Linked DNA regions of Oryzias latipes. The protein of the gene in region 1 purifies or fractionates together with the protein of each later gene. This does not show direct contact. Links are inferred from orthologs where the notes say so. Each region holds a gene or a part of one and is shown on either strand. Other genes may lie near its edges.

Region 1 (6,318 bases):
TGAAATAGTAAGAGCGTCTTAAAAATTAATAGAATAAATAAATAAATGTATTTACATACACATATAAAACTAGTTAAAAGAAAAATAAATTAATTAAAATATTTAAAAATAATAATAATAATAATAAATTAAAAATAATAATAATAATAATAATAAAATAAAATAAAAAAAAAATAAAAAATCCTAAAATTCAACTAAAAGCTAAATTAAAAAGGTAGGTCTTAAGCCTTCCTTTAAAAACATGAACTGTCTCTGCAGCCCTGAGGCTCTCTGGGAGGCTGTTCCACAGGCGAGGTCCGTAAAAACTGAATGAAGCCTCGCTGTACGTTTTTGTTCTAACTTTTGGGATAACCAAAAGGCCTGTATCAGAGGACCTCAGGGTCCGCGGGGGCTCATACTTTAAAATCATGTCAGATAAATATGAAGGCCCGAGACCATAAAAACATTTGTAAACCAATAAAAGAACTTTAAAATCAATCCTGAATTGCACAGGGAGCCAATGCAGCGATCTTAAAATCGGTGTAATGTGTATATGAAGTCATAATGTCTTAAACTTATTTTTTGCAGGTTTTTTTTTGGCCAGTAGTCTTTCTGTAAAGATGTTCTTCTTTAGTGTCGTGTTCATCATACACTCTAAAAAGAAGGAAGCTGATCCAACTTAATTAATTCACTTAAATTGGTAACACGTAATTAAATTAAGTTTATACAACTTAATTTTTTATGTCTATCCAACTCAATTTAAAATGTTGATCTAAATTACTTTTTTTTTTCTTTTCAATTTTGTTTATACCACTTAAATTGACACATTTTTCTCATTACAATGCAGGAACTCGCGTGTCGTGAACTCTGTCTCCAACTACTGCCCAAATACTCTTTTTATGTCTAATATTTGTCTTATTTTCTTTTGTTTCCAGGAAGGAGTTTGTTGAGGGGTGCAAGGCCATAAAGGCGGACAGTATAGAGGGCATCTGCTCACGCTTCCCCTGCATGTTGGTGGAGGCCCAGGGTGAGGAGAACTTCAAAGACCTTTACCGCTTCACCTTCCAGTTCGGCTTGGACGCTGACGAGGGCCAGCGCTCTCTGCAGCGTGACATCGCCATTGCCTTGTGGCGGCTGGTTTTCACACAAAACAAGCCAGAGATCCTGGAACACTGGCTGGACTTCCTTGCTGAGAACCCCTCTGGAATTCGGGGCATCTCAAGGGACACGTGGAACATGTTCCTCAATTTCACACAGGCTATAGGGCCTGACCTGAATAACTACAGCGAGGACGAGGCCTGGCCCAGCCTCTTCGACACGTTCGTAGAGTGGGAGTTGGAGCGCAGAAAAAGAGACCAGGCACTGTTTGCAAAACAGGAAGAAGAAAAATGTTCTACGACAGAGGCTTCTTCCACCACAGATGGACTTGAAACAGAGGGGGGTCGTGGGTCACAGACATGGGGGGGGCACTGACCAGAAAATAATCAACATTTGCAAGAGAGAGAAGGATACTTTTAAGTGAAACGTACATCTGTGAATCATTGGATAAATGAGTATTACCATTTCATTCGCTTTTTTTAGCTCTCCGTTAATATTGGGATTGGATTTCCGCTTTTCTCTTGTGTTATGTTCTAAGGGCTCTAAAACTGTTTTAAGCACTTCTATTTAAGTTATTTTATGTTTCCCCCTTCCTTCCATATGTTTTTAGTCATTGAACTTGTGGTCTATTTTAATACCAACACATACACACCTTAAACCAGCAGAATTTGCTAAATAAAAACGTGGTTTTTAAAGTGGTCATAACGGAGCCATAAGCCTTTTACCCAAATTTGACAGATTTAACCTAATGTGTTTTGTATAATGATTTGGTTTCTAATAAAGAAGGGACATTTTAGCAGCCTGTCTGCAAATAATTTCTTATCAGACATGAAAATTGTAATATCTAAGAAAGTATTGTGTGTTGATTGGACCTATATTGTCAGATATTAGTTTTGATTTCCAGTGCAATGTGGGTTCATTTACTCTGATTGGCTTCACGGCGACTTACTAATACATGCAAAAAACCATTGATCTCAGTGGGCGATTGAATTACATTGTGTTTTTTTGGGAATATTTAAATCTTGGTATGGTTTCCACGGTAACTGACGCACCATCTCTTGCGTGGAGTGGTTTTGAGTGCTTATTGGGCTTGAGAAGCAGAGCTTGTTTTAAGCAGTGGCTTTGCTTCCAGTTGACCTCAATTCTGTTGATGTCCACCAATTTTCAAGAGGGAATTAAAGGGATGCAACAGAAAGTCAATGACACTGGCCCATGTCAGTTGCTTCATAGATATCATCTGGGAGACATATATTGCAAGTATATCCAAGTATGAATACTCTAAAGTAAATGGATAAACTTGCAGTATATTTAGAATAGTTGGAAGTCTCACAAAGGTCCTTTTGTACTCCAAGAGTTTGAGTTTTTGCATCTTTAAACTGCAACACAAAAATATGCAACTTTTGAAGTTATTTTGATTGCATAAATAATGGCTGTAATTGCACAGAAACCAATGACTTGTTAACTTGCTGTACTCTGAATGCTATGCGGAGATTGATGTTAAACACATTTAAAATCTTGAGACTTTTCCAAACTGTGCACATAAAGTGCTACTTTGAAACGAGTGTTAATTAAACCTGCTGGTTATCAACAGACTGTGATAAGGGTCCAGTTTGAGGTTGGGTATTACCAGGTTTATTTGGTTTACATTTTTTTCTTTTCTTATTTTTTTGTTTGTATACCAAGCATGTTCATTTCAGTTTATAATGAAATATAAAAACAAATAAAAGCAGGTATGTATTTTTACCCTTTTCTGCCCTAGAAAGGTTTTTATTGGTGGAATCTAAAGACATGGAGTGGTGACGTCACATGCAAAGCCAAATCGGAGACCGGGAAGAGGGCGTGTCTAACAATGAGCCACTCTCATTGGTGGGCAGCTATCCTGGTTACCAACCAACAATACACGAGACACATGAGAAAATAGGGAAAATAAATGTGTATTTCCAGTCGTAATGACCCCCCTAAAAACAATAGCGTCTTTACATAAAGTGAGTATTTCGCTACATTTACAAAGGATTTCGGGAGGGGGAGGGTAAAATATTCAAAAGACTTTGAAGGCTGTATTTACTTTTTAAATTATTGTATTTGTTAACAACTTGTCACATGCTAACTCACTAGCTTTCCGTTTGTTATTAGCATCGGCGCTAGCTTGATTTAGAAGCTTGCTAATGTTGTGGATTCCTATGAAGATCATTTATGTGTTTAACTTTAAGCAGTATTGCAAGCAGAAAAGGAACATTAATCATCTAACCGTAACTTGTTAATGTTGAACAGAAATGGTAAGCATTACCGGACGACAACTCCCCGACTGTTACACAAACGAAATGTGGGATTATAATAAATAAAATTGTTACCAACGAGAAAAGCAGACACAAAGACTAACGGGGTCGTTTTGTTCAGATTCTTCGAGGATGTTGTTGTTGCGAACATGAGGTACGTTCTTGTCAGGACAGATGTGAATGTTAACCTTGGAATTTCCCCCTTTCAGCGATGAACGAGTTGTAAAGATGCCTTAAAAACGTTCGCTTTCCTGCAGATTATGGGATAGTTTCTTTAGGTCGGTATCATCCGCAGCACACAATGGAGGTGAGATGAGTTTTATGTAACCACTCATTTTCTCTGTCGCTAACATGTTTTCTTTATTCGAATCAACTGTCAACTCACTTTTTTCTCAACCCCCCCGCTTTACGATCAAGAAAACCTCTGGAATCGGTAGCCAAGAACGACCCCCCCCCCCCCCCCCTACAGATGTTATTTTTCACTAACAAGTATTTTCTATTTCCCTCCTTAAAATATTCATTGCCTTCCTTCTCTCCCTGACAGAAGCTGTAGATTTTGACTTGTAGATCCTAAGTAAGACCCTCCTATTTTCTTCTGTTGCATGATTTCTCATGGTGATGGAACTGGCATGACTTGTGACTGTTCTGACACTGCCAGTGCTTCTTCCACGTTCATTCTGCTCTGTTTCCCAGTATATCATGCTGGTGCTTTTTCTTGTCTGTACCATGTTTATAGTATCATTATTTATTATTTACATATTATTGAATTTGCATTTTTTATTTCATTTTTTTTGGTCATTTCTGTACGGTTTATTGCCGCAAAGATTCATATTTGTGTCTCTATTTGCCTCTAAGACAAGGGTGTCAACTTATTAAAGTGACAATTACAGTTGCATAGAAAACATATGTTTGCTTGTTACTCTAGCATAAATCCTTTTAAATTTTGTTCACTTATTAAAACACACATAACTCCATTAATGAAGGATCAGACTGTCCAAGTGAATAAAGAAAAATAACAAAACTGAGCTAAAAAGAACATGTATTACACATGTAACATTTTACAAAAAAAGGCTGCATACAGCCTTGCATCCAACTGATGGTTTGATGACAACAATTTGTCTGCATACACACAAAAGACAGTAGCTACACATAAATAATATGTAATCAACAAAAAAAAATAATTATTTTAAGAAATTAAAAACTTTTATGCTCTTGCGGGCCACATTAAATGACACGGCGGGCCACAATTTTCCTGTGGGCCTTGAGTTTGACACAGATGCTCTAAGACTTTAAGCTTTTAATTCAGCTTTTACTTACCTTTCTGAACATTTCACTATTAGTGATATGTTTTAACGTTTTTCTACAATAAAGCTTGATTCTATTTTTAAACCAGTCTGAGAGAGCAAAGTTGCATGCATAAATGTTTCAATGCCTATAATTAGGTTTTTTGTGAATACTGGTGTAAAAAAAGTAGCGCCTTTTTTGTGCCATCAGCTGTGAGTTTTTATGACTCTTGATCGTGTGTGGTTTGTTTTATGCATATGTTCCGGCAGAAGACTAAGAAGTGCCAAACGGAGAAACCTGCCTTTGCTGGAGATGACACTCTGGATGAATATTTAATCTCCCTCCAACACAAAAACAGGTGAGGTGTGAGCACAGGCGGACCCAGATGGCCAGATTGGATTTCACAGAGGAGATGATCTTGTTTGACTTTCAGTGGTGTCCAGCAGCTACACTGATTAGTTTGAGTTTTGGCTTTGAAAAATACATTTTTATAGCTGTGAAGTTTATGGACTTTGTTTTGTTTTTTTAAGGAAGTTTAAATGGCTTATTATCTATTAAAATATTTGACTTAAACCCTGTGATTTTTTATTTTACTTCTTCTTTTTAGGTACTGAACAGTTTTCTTTGGTTTTCAGAATCTTAAAGCGCCTCAGAGTAAAAGGCCCCAAAGAGATCGAGTTGGAACGTCTTGAGCAAGGATTTTCAATATATCTTAACGGAGCCAATGCTGAATGTAACAAAAGGCAGCCCAAAAGCCCCCCAAAAAAGCCTGACTCCTCTCTGCATGCACATGCGGCTGGTATGCTGTGTTTAAAAAAATCAATTTCATATCAAACATCCTCTTTTTTTAACTTATGGATGACATTTTAAAGGCTTGTTAGCTACAATTGAATCAAGCTGCATAGTTCTGTCATATGAAACAAATTCAATGCAGCAATTAAAGACCACCTCTTCCTCAGCTTGTGGTTTGCATGCTCTGCTTCTGTGCTCAGTCATTGTGAGTAAATGGAAGTGACAATTATAGCTTGCAGCAATTATTTATTTGCCTGCTTTTTTTTGTCATTTTGCATGTGCTGTGCACCATCTGCATGTGTCTTTCTCCCCTGAGGCAGCAGTCTGCTGTATGCTGCTCATGCTCCTTTCTGTGCTCTGACTCATCTGCAGATGTGTGTAGAAGCGCCCACCAGCTAGCCGGAGCTAGCCGCTTTCCAGATCAGACAAACGGTAAGAGGAGCCAAACCGCCCCAGAAAAGGTTCAGAGGAAAGAATGGGTGCAGGTACAGCCCTCTAATATTACATTCTATGATTTAACAAAGAAAAAAAAAACCAATATGTTTTTTATTTACATAATCTCCCCTTTCCTGTCTTAAGAATTCAGTTGAAATACAAACAGAGGATGGCCCAACTTTGAAATTAACCCCAGAGACGCGCTACTCTGATGATTTTGATCCCTATGAAAGTGTAGACATGGAGGTAGGGTGACGATTTCCACTAAGACGGCGTGTGTGGGTGTTTTAGGGAAGGCATTGTGTGTAAGATGTAGCTGTCTCAACCACTCAGCATCTCTCTATCTTCTCTTGTTTTTCCCATTTTTTTTTTTCTTCTGACGACTGTGATTCTGCACAGAGCTCTAGTCCTCTCTCAAGTCCTCGCTCCCCTCATAGTCCCTGCTGCCAGAGGG
Region 2 (6,293 bases), on another chromosome or scaffold:
TGTCTGTGTTCGCATTGAGATCACCTAAAACCGGGTCCTGTTCACAAACCGCTGGACCTGGACTGCTCAAACTTGGATTCCTGGATCTTAATGCGAGAAATGCAGCAGAATGTTCCTTTATCTCCCTCGCGAATCAGAAGCTGTGAATCGCAACCCAACTTCTTCAGCGTCGTCTGACCGCACGGATTTAAAAACATATGATCGAGTAGAGCAGGCCCTTAATAATAATCATGACAGTAATAAAAGCACATTATGAAGATAGTCTCCTGCAGTTTCGCGCTGAGTGAGTGTTTTTGGTCCAACCAGCAACGTTTAGCATGGAGAAATCTGCTATCTGTTGATGGGGCTCCAGCTGTCATCAAACAGCAAATTCAGCGCGAAGCTGCAAATTAATGTGTAAATATGTGGGAATTGCATCAGTGTTTATTTTGTTCTGGACACCACTGGAAACACAAATTCATATGATGGTTTCTCAGATCGCAGCAGCATTTCCGCCTTCAGCGATCATCGGGAGCTTCGCGCTCCGCTATGCGAAGGCAGCTGGCGGTCCAAAGAACAAAAGCGTGTCCGCGGTGCGTCAGGAGGAGGACCGCAGAAGAAGGACATGCTGTTATGTAGTCCTGAGAAGCTGTGGAAACTCATCAGAAGTTCACAACCAACTCAAAGCCGTCTTCTCTGCCGCTAACACAGTCTGCTCCTGGTGCGTGTGTGTGTGTCAGCGGCCGTACACACGGAGAAAGCAGTGACGTCATCGCCCCGCCTCCCCTCTGCTAATGCTTTTAAGAAATGAATATTGCTACAAGTTTCCCAGGGTGGATGTTAAAATACAAATGCAATCCCCTCTTTGCATTTTCGTTTTAATTATGACACAGAATAAGCAGTTTTAAGTATAAAATGAAAAAGCATTTTGAAATATTGCTTTTTCATTTGAATTTTGAGTCATTTGATGCACTTACATTTTGAAAATTAAAAAGCATTTCTGTTAATCCATTTTAATTGTCAAATTAGACATTTCTAAATGAATTTTGCTACACATTTACCGTGGACCTTTTTTAAAATGAAATGTCAAATACCATTTTCTTTATCATTTTAATTAAGTGACAGAAAAAGCTGGGTTGAAGTATAAAATGATAAAGCACTTTGGTATATTGCTTTTTCTTTTAAATTTTGAGTCAAAAAATGCAGCTTCATTTTGAAAATTAAAAAGCATTTCTATTAATCTATTTTAAACATCAAATTAAACATTTCTAAATCAATTATGCTACACATTTACCAGAGAACGTCTTGAAAATGAAATGTCAAATACCATTTTCATTTTAATTTTAATTAAGTGACAGAATAAGCTGTGTTGAGGAAGGAAAAGAAAAAGCATTTTGGTGGATTGCTTTTTCATTTTATTTTTGAGTCAAAAAATGCAGCTTCATTTTGAAAATGAAAAAGCATTTCTGGTTTTGACTTTGCTTTTTATTAATGCTACAGAATCGCTTCCATAGCTTCGCCCCAGAGAGGGCTTATCAAACTCTTGGAGATCAAATTTATTGTTAATAATAATAACAATAATAGTAATAATAATTATAATAAAATCATATAAAAATCCCTAAATAAAATCAACACCTGAAAACCTACCAAATAAAAGTATGCATTTATTTTAACCTCTCGGGAAATATGTTTTCTTTAGAACAAAAAAATGAAGAATCAGTGTCAAGATTGTGACAAAATATTTGACAGTTTTCTACAATCATGGTATTAAGATCCAGCAATAATACTTTCTTTGAATCTAAAATTATTATTTACAGAAATGCAGATTAGTTTGGTTGTATCAAACCAAGATTTTAGAAAAAAAATAGAAAAATGTAGAAAAATAAATATAACCAGAAACTACTAAAATTACACAGGCTTATAAGTAAGAAACGTTTTCTTCACAGATAGCTTTTTTTCTCCCTGAAATAAAGACAAATTGCCCAAAAACACTGGTCAAAACAGCATTAATGACAATATTTAAAACATAAAAAATATTTAAAAAAAAACATAATTACACAATCACGCCGGCATAGAAACTTTAGTTTATGTCAGTCTGCCCCAGGAACAGTAGCTACCATCACCAAGTATCAATGAGGAGTGAATGAATAATGGTCACAGTGTAAGCGCCTTGAGCGTCTGGAAAAGCGCAGATAAATCCAATCCATTATGATTATTATTATTTGTAGTGCTATTTTCCTCTTGACCTTTTAAATAAAAGTTTGAACCAAATATGTTTAACCAAAGAAGTATGCCAAGGAAAAAAAAAGTGTGCCAAGGAAAGAGGAACATTGCGTCACTTCCGCTATTGTTTTACGAAGCGAAACATTCTTTAATGCTACTATTACTACGTATTTAATACGCTTTACATGTTACCAAAAATTTAAAGTAATTTTCTGTTTGAGTTTGCACATTTGTACATTAGTCAGGGTTTTGATTCCGTAAAGAATAAGCTTGGCTGCATGCATGCTCAATAATTATGCAGTCTACATAAATCAAAGCAACAAGCCAATAAATCCGTTCGAAAAACATATATAATTTAGTAAGATTATTCGTGACACGCAAAGGCGACACAAACAACATTTCTTTCTTTCCACCTAAGCCATGCAGTGATTTGTCGAAATCCCAAGTTCCCTGTAACATCGCGAGATTTGACGAGGGCCTGGCTGGAAAATATTTATGTTGTTTTCGGGATTTTCTGTTCATCTCGTCTTTTTACGCCGTCGCTTTAGTAAACACTGCAGTTGAGTGGTCGGCTTGTCTAATGTCGGTTTAAGGCGGGAATGGTGAGAATGTTTGACTTTTAAATGCATTATTTTCTAACACAAGTGGGAAAATCCCACTGTAGCAATTGTTTCCTGTGTTTTTTTTGTCAGCAGCTGGGCCTTTAAAGAAATTGGCAACAAAATGAGCGCACAGCGTTATTATTCCCACATCTACTACCATCAGTGGCAGAAAAAAAACCCTGCACAGGATTCGGTTGTAGTAATGAACCCAGTCAAGCGGAACCGTTCAGGTTAACATTTATCTAAACGCCCAGACGGTAGCTGCTCATTATGAGATGCATAAGCTAAACTGTGAACACAGCGATTTGGGAGACTTTTAAAGATGCTAAGGACGATATAAGCGCACTTTAAGAAATAATCATTATATCTAGATTAAAGTATTTTAAATGATTTTCTGCGTTTTCCCATTAAATGGATATTTGTTTGTTATTCCCGAGAGAGAAACAGATATGATGACAACGTGCACTGTGGAATAAATATACATTTATTATTATTATTATTATTATTATTATTATTATTATCTAACTATTATATGCTGATTATGTACGTGTGTAGTAGATTCAACAGGGACTCCTATGCAGATTGAGGGGGAAAAAACGGATTGACTCCACAAAATCATTGAGGATTTTTGCTGTTAATGACCCATATGGAAGCAGTCTTTTTCTAACATAAACACTATAATTTGCTTCCACCATCCACCAACAGGTGGATGCTAAGCACCTCTAAAGAAGTCATCCGATATTTGAGGGAAAAGAAGCAGGGAAAACATCTCATTTCTACCCAGCAAACATGTTTTTATTCACATTTGCTGTTATCTTTGAGGAATTATTTTCGGTCGTCTTGTGTTGTACTGGGGGGAAGGTCCTCACTACATACTTAGTTTGATGCTCTGATATGTTTTCAAATTTTAAATGTCTCTGGGCTTCTTTATTTAGCATCGGGGTCTGCAGCCACATGGGGCTCTTTCGTCCCTCCATTGTGGCTCTTGGCTTTCAATGATAATCTACATAGATAATGTTTTGTTTTAGTTAAGTCATTCTTTGTGATTAGGTCAGATGTGTCAGTTTTCTGAAATGATGGTAAAAAGTTGAATCTGCAGTCAGAGTGGTTTATTATTAGAATAAGCTTAAAGCACATATTCTTTGACTTTGAGTGTATTTTATTTTGAAAAGACTGATGTGCTGCAAAAGTCAAATGTAAAATTGTCAGGAAAAAAAATCACTTTATCACTATATTTCTTTATCACTACATGTTGATTATTGTAAATATTTGATGGCTTAATGGTCATAAATAAATTATTATTTATTTATTTTTTAAACAGTGAGGTAGTAGACTTTAGGCTCTCGTTGGGAAAATGCTCCTGTTGGCCCGCCGATTACAATCTCATCTAACATCCGTTTTTGTCATTTTTCCTTGTAACCTATCAGCAGGAAGGAGTCAAATCCATGGCACCATGACTCCTGCAGCTCTGCCTCCAGGTTTCTGCTGCTGTCACAGGAAAATCTGGTTGCATTCGGCAGCAGCAGGAGAGTTTTAAACTGCTTTCAAAGGATAATGTGGACGGTTGAGCAAAATGAATAGATACACAAACATAAGACAGCTCGGAGACGGCACCTACGGCTCAGTCATTCTGGGCCGCAGTTTGGAGTCCGGAGAACTAGTTGCCATAAAAAAGTGAGTTTTCATTTAAAAAATGCTCTGCTAAAGAGTACCTCATAATTATGAACAAATACTTTTAAGAGTTTTACATATTTTGAAAGTATTTATCAATTAAAAAGCTAAAACGCTTGGTAATATTTGGTTGTTTTCTGAAATCTAAAACTGATTTTTTTTAGAATGAAAAGAAAGTTCTACTCTTGGGAAGAATGCATGAACCTTCGGGAAGTAAAGGTAAGTTTAAATGTCTAACACTGTTTTACATAATAAAAAGCATAATCATTTTGGAAATAACAGCCAAAAAATTACAGCCTCTTGATTTAAAATTTAGAGCTTCAGTGATAATTTTCACTATAGGGTTAATGGTTTACAAAATTTTCATCTAAAAAGACTGTTAAAGCTTAAATTTTAGGGGGAAAAAAAACTATTTTCATGTTTATAAATTTGGCAACTGAAAATTCCTGAAACCTGTGATCCCTCTGACAACCAGCAGGGGGCGACTCTTCCACTTAAAGAAAACCATTTTGCACTGGAGAAAGGAATGAAAACATGGATTTCAGTCAATATATTTAATTATTACATTATTTTTTAAAGATTTATATTGCTATAAATCATGGTTTAATTCACTGCCACCAATAATGATATATATTTTTGGCAGGTGCTACCCAGCATTTAACTCCGTATTGATAGGATACAAAAAGATACCAACATGATTGATGAACAGATGGCCTTGATCCTGATTATATTTGCTATAGAGTTATTGTCTGACTGATTATTAATAGGTTGTGCTTAGATCATGTACCTTGTAGTCTAGCTGTGGAGTAATCCCAACTTTTCTTTCTTTTTGCACCAGTGTAGTATGCTTATAGTGTAAATTTCGTCACACCAGCTCTCAGGGCAGTAGGTGATTTTTGTATGCAGATGCTTCTTACCTTTTGTTACCCCTTAAAGTTTAAACTTAACATCTACAATGAATGATAGCCTGCTCCACATCCTTTTAAATGCTTGCCGCTGATTTTTTTTTTTAACGAAGCTCACATAAATGGAGCATGAGTAAACCTGCATTATTCCAATGCATGGGAATACTTTACATAGATCCTGTAAAATATTCTTAAAAGTGTTTTTAGCTTTTTACATTTTAAGCAAAGGTGATCTTCTGCTCCACTGACCTGCAGTTTTTATCCAGCATGGTTAGACTTATACATGATCACGTCTCTTACAAAAACCTGTTTTACAGTCCCTGAAGAAACTCAACCACGCTAATGTCATCAAACTCAAGGAGGTGATTCGCGAAAACGACCACTTGTACTTCATATTTGAGTACATGAAAGAAAATCTGTATCAGCTGATGAAAGACAGGTGTGTGCAAGTTTCTTTGGGCTCATACTTTCTATTAGCACATTGAACAACAGTGCTAGAGATTCCTAACTGAATGTTTTATGCTGCAGGACTCGGTTGTTTCCCGAATCTGCTGTAAGAAATATTATGTTTCAGATCCTGCAGGGGCTAGCATTCATCCATAAACACGGTGAGTTTGTTTTTTTGCCCATTTAGACTTCCTCCAGCTGAGCTGTAAAGCTCATGAGCCGTGTCTCTATTAGGGTTTTTCCACAGAGACATGAAACCAGAGAACCTTTTATGCATGGGCCCAGAGCTGGTGAAAATAGCGGACTTTGGGCTTGCTCGTGAAATCAGATCTCGGCCTCCATACACTGACTACGTCTCCACTAGATGGTGAGTCTCTGTTTGTTCACACACACTTACTGAAATGAAAGAAGCTCAGACGCTCTGGTTGTCCTTGTTTTGGATCAGGTACAGAGCTCCAGAGGTGCT

Evidence for each region. The genes of interacting proteins can lie anywhere in the genome.
Region 2: the proteins of kiaa0556 (region 1) and ick purify together in Homo sapiens (affinity purification with mass spectrometry; 3 studies listed by BioGRID and IntAct, with this or other methods). This does not show direct contact. The link is inferred for Oryzias latipes from reciprocal best matches to the Homo sapiens genes KATNIP and CILK1.

Annotation. Positions count from the first base shown.
Region 1 is NC_019877.2:9,517,790-9,524,107, reverse strand, and holds the start of kiaa0556 (protein KIAA0556 homolog), read left to right. Parts: upstream 1-2,915; 5' UTR 2,916-3,062; intron 3,063-3,562; 5' UTR 3,563-3,654; coding exon 3,655-3,660; intron 3,661-3,897; exon of another isoform or gene 3,898-3,927; intron 3,928-4,906; coding exon 4,907-4,995; intron 4,996-5,272; coding exon 5,273-5,436; intron 5,437-5,801; coding exon 5,802-5,914; intron 5,915-6,008; coding exon 6,009-6,110; intron 6,111-6,263; coding exon 6,264-6,318. Other genes in the region: dcun1d3 (DCN1-like protein 3), read left to right, coding at 915-1,452. UniProt on the Homo sapiens protein: May influence the stability of microtubules (MT), possibly through interaction with the MT-severing katanin complex.
Region 2 is NC_019873.2:24,032,399-24,038,691, reverse strand, and holds the start of ick (serine/threonine-protein kinase ICK), read left to right. Parts: upstream 1-2,648; 5' UTR 2,649-2,804; intron 2,805-4,231; exon of another isoform or gene 4,232-4,234; 5' UTR 4,235-4,377; coding exon 4,378-4,478; exon of another isoform or gene 4,479-4,482; intron 4,483-4,639; coding exon 4,640-4,694; intron 4,695-5,697; coding exon 5,698-5,819; intron 5,820-5,908; coding exon 5,909-5,988; intron 5,989-6,061; coding exon 6,062-6,194; intron 6,195-6,272; coding exon 6,273-6,293.